3 linked regions of the Coturnix japonica genome follow. The protein of the gene in region 1 purifies or fractionates together with the protein of each later gene. This does not show direct contact. Links are inferred from orthologs where the notes say so. Each region holds a gene or a part of one and is shown on either strand. Other genes may lie near its edges.

Region 1 (4,438 bases):
TGCAGCGGAGGGAAGCGACCGTGAGACCTCAGAGCCGCCCCGGTTGGGACCCCCGCACCGGGCCGGGCCGCCCTCGCTCACCTCCTCCGCGCGTGGCTGGACAGCTTCTTGCGGCCGGCCTCCTCCTCTGCAGAAACACAACGGGCACTCAGACAGGCCCCGAGGCAGCGCCAAGGCCCCGGGCCGCCACGGGCCGCACTTACCGGGCGGCAGGAAGCGGGCCAGCTCCACCTCGGCCCCCCGCTGCTTGCGGGCCTTGCGCCCGGGGCCGCGCTTCTCCTTCTTAGTCGGGTCCAGCTTCCGCCCCATGGCTCCGGTACAGCCGGCACCGCCAACAACCCACGTGCGGGCCAACCCCTGCCGCGCACGCGCTCGTCCGCCGACCCGCCCCCGGCCCGGTATTGGCTGCGGGGCGGAACGTCACGGGCCACGTTGACCAGGTTGGACGGGGCCCTGGGCAACCTCGTCTAGTAAATGTGTATGTTTGGTGGCCCTGCCAGGCAGGGGGGTTGGAACTACATGATCCTTGAGGTCCCTTCCAACCTGGGTCATTCTGTGATTCTGTGGGCCGGCACGAGAGACGGCAGGGCCTCTCACAGCCCAGCCCAAGGCAAAGCAGGAGGATTCAGGCCTAGAGAGAATCAGTGCTGCACAGAAACCTCAAAGTAAAATACAAGGAAACTTTATTTTTCAGTTCTACCAAGATTTTGCTCTGCTTTTGTCCTTTTGCTTTTTGTTGTGTTTTTTTGTTGTTTTTTTTTTTCACTTTATTTTCTCCTCTCCGAGCTGCTTAATGAGCGGACAAGTCCCGTCAGTTTCTGTATTAAAAAGGATCTCGATGGAGGTAGCTTTGTCTCTGTCCTGGCTTCTGCTTCATCTCGCCTGTGCGGTCACATCGGTAAACAAACCCAAAAAGAAAGTTACAAAACTGAAAACGTGGAATTCCAGGCGGAGGCAGCGAGCAACGCAGCCAGGTTCTCCATGTAACAGCCATGGCACCGCGGCCTTCAGTCACTATGTACAGAGTCCATCATCCATCCGTCCCCCTCTCTCCTCAGCACACTCCTCGCTCCGGTGGGCTGGCCGTAATGGAAGGAGGTTCTCCCTCCTCCCAGAGACTCGCACGGCAGCTTCCACGAAGAAACGGCACCCGGTCAGGAATGTCAGGCAGAGGGGCAGAGTGTGAAGGGGTGGGGCGGGGAGGGTCACTTCGGCTTGGCCAAAAGATTGACGGCACCGGGCTGGAGACTCACTGCTGCTGCGCCACCTGTAGGGCGAGAGAACAGCCGCTAGGCTCTGTAGTATGGGGGCTATTTCCCCACATAGCCCCGAGACACCCCCGCCTGCAGAGCAGGGAGGGCACATACTTGTTGGGGAGGGGGCGGTGGAGGGGGCTCACTGCTGCGGTTGGCGAGCCTGCTGAGGATGTTGCGTTCCGACATCTGCAGGCGCACTGCCACCGGCGGGATACGGGCAATAGTGGCAGGCAAGCGTGTCACGTCAGCCTTCATGTCACTCAGAAGCTCCTCGAGCTGCTTCAGAACTAGAAGAGAAAGGGACATGGATTCAGGGCAGAGGAAGGAGGAAAAAGAAGGTCTTCCCCATGTGTGGTGCACAAGATGCTCAACACATCCACTCTTGCTTAGCCCATAACATCACCTTTGTGCAGCACGGCGTTGGCAGGCTTATTCCCAGCCATTGACTCCTTGGATAGATGCTGGTGACTCTCGGCCAGGCACTCCACCTCTGCAAAACGTGTGTTCAGAGCCATTGAAGGATGAGAGGGGTCTTCTGACATATTCAGATAGGCAGCTCGCCGCAGCTGCTCCTCAATCACCAGGGCCTGCTCCAGGAGCTGCAAGAGGGGGCAGTCATGTGAGAAGTCCTCCAGCAGTTGCCTGCTTGGATGTCCCTCTCCAACCCCACCACAGTCTTCCTGATCTAGTCATTGTCTGTCACAAGGTGGAACCCTGAAACTCCTTTCACCATCTTCTGTTTAGCTTGGTCTAAATATTGAGAAACAAAGAGCTTCATTAAGCCAGGCTCTGTATACAAGAAAATCAACCAACTTATGACCAGTCTAAAGTGCTGTGAACAGATTCATATTCCTCTGCCTTCTTAAAGGATTTCTGAAGTAAATCTTTGATCTTTCTGCATGAAGCACAGGAGATGAAGCTTTTTTTTCCCCCAGTGAACCTGAGAAGTATCCAACCAAAGAGGAAGAATTCAAGAGAAACTGTTAAACATGTCAGAGTCCTCTGAAGAAATCAATTTGAATTCTATTGTAGCAGAGCTGACTGGCCAAACTACACTGATGTTTAGTTCCGAGACTCAGAATTACATGGCCTAACTTGGGTTGGCAGCCATCTTGTTCTTAAAAGCTCATCTTGCTGAAGGGCATTTGTCACAATGAAGGTGCCTTACCTTGAATCTCCTTGCCAAGAATTTGTTCTTTATTTCCAGGAAGTTACCCCTGTTCATCTCTCCCTTGAAGGGCTCATTGAGGATGGCGTAACGCGGATCATTCTGAATATCTTGCCAACGGGCATAGCCATGACTGAGATGGGATGAGCTCAGGCAAACAAAGGCAGTGAGAACATGGGAATACACAGTCCAGGCAGACAGTTTTTGAGGGGGTCAGGGAAGGGGACACAAAGAGGGGAGGAACAGGGGCCAAGAAAGAGGAATGAGAACTATTTCCTGCTAGGTCTTAATTACACCGACACTAAAACCCTCCTCCCATCATTTCTTTCACTCTACTGAATGATAAAAAGCACTCTCTCTCTGAACGCGTTCCAGTCAGGCCCCAAACGGTCACCTTCACAACAAGATTTAAAGCACAGGGGGAGAGAACTGGTTTCTCAGGGCAAGGATACTTGATAATTCCAGCAAGCAGCCAGTAGTCATGACGCCGATGCCAGATCTCATATGTCTTCTTTGTGACAGTTGCGGCCCGCTCTTCGTTCTGCCACAGGGAGTGTAATTCTGGACAGGCAAGATACACAAAAATAATGGAAAGTTACCTCATGAACGAGAACAGGAGAATATAAATGAGTTAAAATATAAAAAGATTTCACATACCTGTGAAGCCACCATCAGCTATGTTGAACATGAACCGTTGCTTTACTGCCTTTTTGTGCCTTTCATCTACTGACTCTTTCAGCATCTCTCCGTTCTGCAGCATCACCACGTCTCTCTTATCATCATCCTTTTTCTCATCTGCGTGCACAGAAGTCATTAGAAAGAACATGGCAGATAGCATAGCAAGTTGGACCTACAGGAAGTCCTTGCAGGAGAGGGAGTCATGAAGGGAATCAGGAATGGAATTATCACGACTCACCTTTCTCATCCAAGGTGATTACAGGGGGGTCAGAGGTATTCTCAGTAGGTGCTCTGTCTTCTGCCTTCTCCACATCAGCTGCAAGAGAGAAAGGGAGTATGAGATGTAACTATGAGCTCAAGCTTTTGTTCCTCAGTCAATGAAACCAAGGTGTTCCCTGACTCCCTGCTCAAAGTCATGGAACAGTCTCCACCAGTTATCCATTTATGTCTGCTTCTATAAGGTGAAAACACAGGCAAAGAAGTTGCATCTTTAGGAGGATACTGGTGTTCATTTTTTGTTCAGCTGTTTGTGTTCAAGGTATTAAACAACCTCTCTAGAGATACCTTTGTTTTCCACTTCCATTGGCTCATCTGTTCTTTCCTTCACCTCTGGTTCTTCTTTCTTCTCATCTGTTTCTGTGGAATTCACTGGGGATTTTGCTTCCTGTGGTGCTGCCTCCGTAGGCTGGGCACACTGCTGAGGACAGATCAATGAGCAGTGAAACAACGCAGCGTATGCAAACAAGACAGTCAAACCAGTTTGGAAAGCAAATCCGCACAAAACTATTACACACTGATTGTGAGAACATGAGGAGAATCATCTCTAAGTAGAGACATTTGCAACTGCATGAGGCAAACTAGCATCCCAATACCCACCTCCATAGGGACCTCTGTGTCATTAGCAGAGGCACTGAGTTCTTTCTCTGGCTCAGCAGACTCTCCTTGTTCCTTGTTACTGGCTCCTTCTTCTGCCTTTATTCCCTCTTCTGTGTATTCCCCACCCCAGAGCGGCATATCAGATAAAAAAAAAAAGAAAAGAAGCCATCAGTGAAGTGTTTCCCCCACTGTAAACATGCACATATCTTTGCTCCTAGAGAAAATGCCCATTCAAGCAGGAACAACATCGCTCAAGATGAACCCACAGACTTCCTACCAACCGCAAACACAGGGTACTTATTTTCACTGATGTCCTCTCTTGCCTTTAAGGGTTTGCAAACATCTTCAAGCAACCCTCCTAACTTGAGAGGGTAAGTTGATCTGTGTCCACCCCCAGACCCCACCACCACAGGTCCGGTGAGGGGAAGAGCCAGGATGAGGTCAGGACACAGGAGTGTTC
Region 2 (2,447 bases), on another chromosome or scaffold:
ACCACAGTCTACGAGCAGAGCAGACCCTGGTCAAGGCTTAACGCTCATGGAAGAACATGCAGAGAGCAGCAGCTACTCCACTGGCTATCCCTAAAACTGAGAGGTGGCCCCAAAACAACACAAGCCTCTGATCCAGAAAAGCCTCACCATTTGGAGAGATAAAACTCGTAGAACTTGACAGGGCATCGAAGCGGGTTCATCTTGTTCTCCCGCTGCTCCAACATTGGCACCTCCTCCTCACGCTTCCTCTTTCCAGTGCTACCATCTGCAAAGGGGGGGGACAGAGTAGGATCACAGCTGGGACATGACGGAGAAGGCAGGGAGAGGGACAAAGAGATGTTCTGTCAGACCCTACCTCGGCCTTTCTTTTGCTTGGCAGGAGCACAGTAGCGGATGCTCACCATCTTCGTGACACCACGGGCTGTGGTGCACTTGCGGGACTGCCGTACTACATTGGTGAAGGAGAGCTGCATGTGCTCCTCTGCTGTCTGCAGCCCAAAGAACTTAGTGTTGAAGAACATAAGGGTGTTAAGGAGCACAAAGGGTGAGTAAACGCCCAGCTGCTTGCACTCCCATAGGTGCTCCTCCTCGACACGTGAGAAGACTGTGTCTGTAATACAGAGGAAGAACCAGGTCAACACCCACAGTGGCCTTGTGTTCTTTCAGGAGGGAACTAGAACAATGTGCCTGCCAGCAGTGGCTGGGAGCCAGCCCCAAGCATCTGAAGAACGTGTGTCTGGAGCAATCCCTTCTCCTCCAAGTTCAACTCAGTGCTGACACTTCACAATGCCCGCTTTCCCACAAGGTTCCTCCTTCAGAGCCATCAATGGACCCTAACCCTGCCCATTCCACGGCACAGGCAAATCTCAGCCCAGAATCTCAATAAATCCTAACGGATCATATCATAAACGACCGTGAAGTGGACTCAGGTCAGTGCTCCACCTCACCGTGGGGGATAATAGAAAAGCCATCGCCTTTCTGGACACACAGGTCTGGAGCTGAAGGCCTCCACCTGGAACAGCCATCATGCAGAGGAGTGGCTACAGCAACTACAAGACACCATAGGGAAGGAAGCCCAGATTGTGGCATCATGCAAAGCCTCTGCAAAGCTCTAAGGCAGTCTGTTCACAAGGTAGCATGACAGCAACCATGGCCAACATTCAGAACAGTGTGCAGGGCTTTCCGACAGACTGGGAAGGGAAAGACATGGGCCTCCACACCTGTTGGTTTGGTATCCTCCTTACTAAAGGGTTCAGACACCAGTGAAATTTACTATTGTAAAGGTTAGAACTGCTCCAATAAACAAAGCAGCCACGCTCTACTCCCAGCCATTCTGACTCTGGGAAACAAAGTTGCTGAGGCATAAACCAGACTGGCCCTGCTGTCAGTATGGGTCAGGATGACCCTAAAATGCAGTGGAACAGCACTGCCTGTGCCAAGAGAGAAGACTGAGGCTGGAGGAACGCAAACAGACTGGAGGATCCAATGCAAGAAGCACAAATGGGTTATGTATGCATGCTAAGTTAAGGTAATATGGAGACACATACTGTTTGGTAAGACTGTGGGTTGCCAGCCACTCAGGGACTTGTTCAGCTCCTGCACGAAGGTCAGGTAGTAAAGGTCTGTAAATATATTCACCATACGATTGTTCTCAAGCAGGTACTAGAAAGAACAGAACACACAGTCAAGAGAGACAGCGGTACCTGGAGTGCAAATCCTTCCCATAAAGCCCAGGACACACGCAGAACCCAGGCTTGCACAGGCAGAGTTGCAGAGCAGATGCTCAGCTAAAAGCAACCATTCCTGAAAGCTGTGAGAAACTGCAGGACATCACAAAGCAGAACTGATGAATGAGAAGGGACTGAGACTGAATTTGGAGAGTTTACTCGGCCTTCCTCCAGGATGTGCTCCTTGGGTGCAAAGACAGGGAATGCCTGTCACCTCCCACTGGGCTCAGGAACAAAGACTAAACTGGGTAGGTTGCTGTCATAGGTCTCCAGAAGGCAAAATAAAGGGCAAGAACTCTCCCTCACCAGATGTGACCCCCAGGCCTGGCTGGGAAGGAAGTGAGGACAACAAGCTTTCCCTCACCTGCTGAATCCCAAGACACAGATAATAGATGCTGTCCGGTTCATAGCGCTCCCCATTGGGCCGTGTTATTTCCTTGACAAACTGAGCCAGGCCATAGTTGAGTTCAGCTGCCGTGCAGGCCAGGATGTCTTCTTTGATCCTTATGGGCTTGGCTGTGGAAACAAATACTGCAGCCTCAGACAATATCCTTCAAGGTGAGAAGCACCTCGATGGGCTGGGATCCAGCTGCTGGGAGGTGTCTGCCACTTCACCCCACACAGACAGGAAACTTACGGCCAAAGCGCAGCTCCTCTCCCTTGCTGGTCTCTCCCCCTGCGTACTTGGCTTGCACCCAGGACTTCCAAGCATTCACACCA
Region 3 (3,788 bases), on another chromosome or scaffold:
GCTGAATGCTGGTTTTTCTTCTCCCACTGTACCCAATTGCAGATTCTGCGTGTTGACTTGGAAACTGAGTCAGTTTGAAATAGAAATTTGATGGGATATGAATAGGAAAGCCCAAGACAGCACTGTAACTTTTTGTACCTGAGTAAAATAGTGCTGAGTGCTTCCAAATGTAATTATGGACTCTTTGTGATGTCTTCTTATTTCTGAAGATAAGTGAAATGCTTCCATGAAATCTAGAAATAACGAGTTTGTTTAAAGAGATCTTTGTACCCACTCATACTCTATTTTTCCTTTTATTTCTACTGTTCAGGGGAATATTGTGTCTGAAAGCACTGAGCTTAATTTAGTATTTGTGGTTTGAGAGGGACAGGATTATTTGCTTCCCACAGTTTGGGTAGTAAAGAGAGACTGATCAGCTTAAGTTTGCCAGATCTTTGTTTCCTTCTCTGCTTTTTCATATACATTAGTATTTAGTCTGCAAAACATTTAGTAACATAGCTTTCAAATCTCTGCATGTTTGACAGTCTTTTACCAGACCCAATAAGGATATTGAACTGAAATCATGTAATGTTCCTATTTGACTACACACATACATGGTTTCAGTTTTGCTTTAAAAATACTGGAAGCTGTGGTTGTTTCTACTAAAAATCTCAAAGAAACAGTGAAATCTACATTGTTTGTAAGTAATTGATCTTGATGTTGCTTGAAAAATAGCAAATATGTCAACGCTAAAAGACTTTCTGCTTGTGCTGTCTGCAAAAGTTCAGCAAACATGGCTCTGGGATCTGAGGAAGAGGACCCATTCCCAATGAACGCAGAATGTCTATTCTGCATCTGATGATTTCTTAAATGAAGGAACATGCACTTTGAAGTTTAGAACCACCTTTTTTTGTTTCTTTTTGTAGTCCACCACGTATTAAAGATGAACCAGATGATGACGGGTTTTATGCTTCTCCTAAAGAGGACTCCAAACCCCTGAAGAGGCCTCGGGAAGATGATGAGTAAGTGACCTGGGTACTGGGGACTTGAATGCTTGCCTTTGGCTCTAGAAAGAGAACACCAAGGGAGCAAGTAGGATCTAAGATATTCAGCCTGTACTGGGGGACTGGAGATCTGAGACTAAATTTCTTACACTATTAAAAGTTTTCTGAACAGAGTAAGGATAGCATCTACGTTGTTCATAGAAAAAATACCATTACCTGCTTCTTCAGATAGTTCTGTGCAGAGCTGCAGAGTTACTAAATAGGGGGAAAAAAAGAAAAAGTGAGAAGAGACCAAGACTGTAAAGCATAAGTCTGAGTAAGTGTGGTATTAATGGTAGCTAAATGGCTGCAGTGGTTTCTGATGGGTGAGCAAATGACAACACAAGAGGAAGAAAATACAGTCAGCCTGCTCAGTACAGGGGAGAGTTTCACATGCACTGCATGGCATGAGTCCTTTTTAAAAGTGTCTGAATATGTTGTGGATTACACTGGGGATTTTATTCTTTAAGAAAGCTCATGTGATGTTTGCCTGATACATAGTAGCCTGCCCAGTGAAATAAAAACCTGGTTACATCGTGCTATGATGTTACCATCTAGCATGTCCAGTTTTTTAGATAGCATGACCCATCTAAAAGGCCTAGACTTAAAGGCTTGGAAGAGCTTACCACATTGGCATTCTGTTCTAATGTCATGTTTCAGCATCCAAGAGACATGGGTGTGACATCTTCTCTTTTGTGTAATCATTTGCTACCTTCTGTTAAGTCTTTGTGACCTCCCATCTCATGCCTGCAACAAAAAGATTAAGAATTTGTCAGCAGTCGATTTCGCTGGTGTTCAAACTAGTGGGGGATGCAAAAAGTGGGTACTGGAAGCAGTTCCCAAACTGATGATTACAAGAGGGACAGCATGTTGGGGAAAACATGCCACTGAGCTTTCATTGATTTATTTTATCCCATGTAATTGCTGGGTGGCTGCTAATACTCTTTATTTGGTGCAGCATCAACAAAAAATTTTTGTTTCAGCAGCCTGAAACTTCTTCTGGGCATCTGTATAGTTGTAATTATACAAAGATATACAGTTGTAACTATACAAAGGTAAAGTAGATGGATAGCCAGAGGTTATATGGGACTCACCACTGTTGAGGCTCACAGTCAAGACACTCACTGTAGAATCTCCACATAGGAGCAGTCTCCAGAAAGAGATGCTGCCTTAGTGGTGGTCAGCCCTTAAATGGGATCTAGGAGAGGTGGAGTCAAGCTCAACCCCTTCCAGGAGCACAGCTGAATTACCTTCACCTGTGCTCCCACAGCTGACCCATCACTTGCCTCAGATGGTTAATCAGATGTTCAGGCTGTGATCAACAGTTTCCCATACAGCAACTACTTGTAGTTATAGCCTATGGATTTTACATACTATAAACTTGAACACACAGATTTTATACGTGTATGACTTAATATTTTTTATACTGGAAAATGGATGATTTTCATCAGCTAGTCTTTGTTCTTATAGTGCTGACTACAAACCCAAGAAAATAAAAACAGAAGACATAAAGAAAGCAAAGAAAAGGAAACAAGAAGAAGAAGAGGTAATGTGAAAGATGTTTGTTTCTAGCAAGAAAAGCAAGACTGATAATTCAGTATTGAATTGTATAGAGCAAGAGGAATCGAATTCAAAGGGAAAGGGGCAAGGATCAGTCCTGGGACAAAGCTGCATGTAACAGATACAGACTTGGAGTTCAAGTTGACTCATCGGAGCCATAATGTATAAAGTCAGGGGAACTTTGTCTCTTACACTTAAAATAAGGGGTAGAGGGAATATCTCCAGATTGAGAATTCGTAGTGTGTTCCTGGCAGTTCAGTCTTTCTGCTAAGTAGGATCATCTGCAGAGAGTATAAGAGCCTTACTTGCAACACCTGGTAATTGTGCTGGTAATTTGGCACTGTTCAGAAACAGAGGAGATGAAACTTGGATTAGTCACTGGAAAGACATTTAAAGCTTTTAGATGAAACCGAGGATGTAAATTTGGAAAGGGAGGTGGTGTTGAGGTTAACCATAGTTGGAGACTTGAAAGCTATGCTGCTGTGTCTAGCAAAGGCTCCTTTGTGAAGCACATGTTGCAGGGAGCTCCTGGAAACTTGATTAATTCTCAAGTTTAATGAAAGTGTCTTTATAGAGAACATATACCATACATTCCCAGAAGCCACCTCATAGTGATGTAATTTTTCTCTGTGGCACTTGCCAGAGTAGATGTAACTAATGCACACTGAGGAGACTGTTCCTATAATTGAGCAATCATGTTACTGTGGCCCAAACTTACTGCTTATCAAGTGAGGCAGAATAAGTGGCTGTTGTGTGCACTTAATATGTTCTACATCTAAGGGAAATAATTTGGATTAAAACTTTGAAGTGTGGCTGTCAGCAGAGTTTGACTTAAACGTGCACTTCAGTCATCGTGTTCTGTATTTAGGCTTTCATAATTCAGCTGTTTGTGGTCTAACTAGTGCATGCCAAAGGATAGTTGTTTAGTTTTAAAACACCTTTTGCCGGAGGATAAGAGGGATGGAATGTGGTAACTTTTTCTAACGTTTTACAGGAGAGCAAAGCAAAGAAGGCTAAGAACAAAGATAAGAAAAGCCCTGAAGCGGACAAAAGAAAGAAGCCGAAAAAAGAAGAGGAGCAGAAATGGAAATGGTAACTATATATTGATGATGTAGGCTGCCCTCAGCACTATCACTGTTACCTCCCATGCTGACTGAGTAACCACATCTGCCTTTTTTTTTTTTTGGTTGATTCATGAGGGTTTGT

Evidence for each region. Proteins that work in one complex are often made in the same cells at the same time.
Region 2: the proteins of CHD4 (region 1) and ZMYM3 purify together in Homo sapiens (affinity purification with mass spectrometry; 3 studies listed by BioGRID, with this or other methods). This does not show direct contact. The link is inferred for Coturnix japonica from reciprocal best matches to the Homo sapiens genes CHD4 and ZMYM3.
Region 3: the proteins of CHD4 (region 1) and TOP1 purify together in Homo sapiens (affinity purification with mass spectrometry; 3 studies listed by BioGRID and IntAct, with this or other methods). This does not show direct contact. The link is inferred for Coturnix japonica from reciprocal best matches to the Homo sapiens genes CHD4 and TOP1.

Annotation. Positions count from the first base shown.
Region 1 is NC_029516.1:69,333,752-69,338,189, forward strand, and holds the end of CHD4 (chromodomain-helicase-DNA-binding protein 4), read right to left. Parts: intron 4,429-4,438; exon of another isoform or gene 4,287-4,428; intron 4,089-4,286; coding exon 3,979-4,088; intron 3,800-3,978; coding exon 3,667-3,799; intron 3,419-3,666; coding exon 3,341-3,418; intron 3,220-3,340; coding exon 3,082-3,219; intron 2,986-3,081; coding exon 2,877-2,985; intron 2,558-2,876; coding exon 2,425-2,557; intron 1,856-2,424; coding exon 1,660-1,855; intron 1,544-1,659; coding exon 1,400-1,543; coding exon of another isoform or gene 1,368-1,399; intron 1,268-1,367; coding exon 1,206-1,267; 3' UTR 667-1,205; downstream 1-666. Other genes in the region: NOP2 (probable 28S rRNA (cytosine(4447)-C(5))-methyltransferase), read right to left, coding at 82-127, 204-309. UniProt on the Homo sapiens protein: ATP-dependent chromatin-remodeling factor that binds and distorts nucleosomal DNA. Acts as a component of the histone deacetylase NuRD complex which participates in the remodeling of chromatin.
Region 2 is NC_029519.1:2,250,130-2,252,576, reverse strand, and holds part of ZMYM3 (zinc finger MYM-type protein 3), read right to left. Parts: coding exon 2,365-2,447; intron 2,244-2,364; coding exon 2,092-2,243; coding exon of another isoform or gene 1,987-2,091; exon of another isoform or gene 1,680-1,986; intron 1,663-1,679; coding exon 1,548-1,662; intron 611-1,547; coding exon 356-610; intron 266-355; coding exon 148-265; intron 1-147. UniProt on the Homo sapiens protein: Plays a role in the regulation of cell morphology and cytoskeletal organization.
Region 3 is NC_029535.1:4,172,584-4,176,371, forward strand, and holds part of TOP1 (DNA topoisomerase 1), read left to right. Parts: intron 1-905; coding exon 906-1,001; exon of another isoform or gene 1,002-1,045; intron 1,046-1,199; exon of another isoform or gene 1,200-1,238; intron 1,239-1,648; exon of another isoform or gene 1,649-1,769; intron 1,770-2,116; exon of another isoform or gene 2,117-2,173; intron 2,174-2,492; coding exon 2,493-2,568; intron 2,569-3,576; coding exon 3,577-3,674; intron 3,675-3,788. UniProt on the Homo sapiens protein: Releases the supercoiling and torsional tension of DNA introduced during the DNA replication and transcription by transiently cleaving and rejoining one strand of the DNA duplex.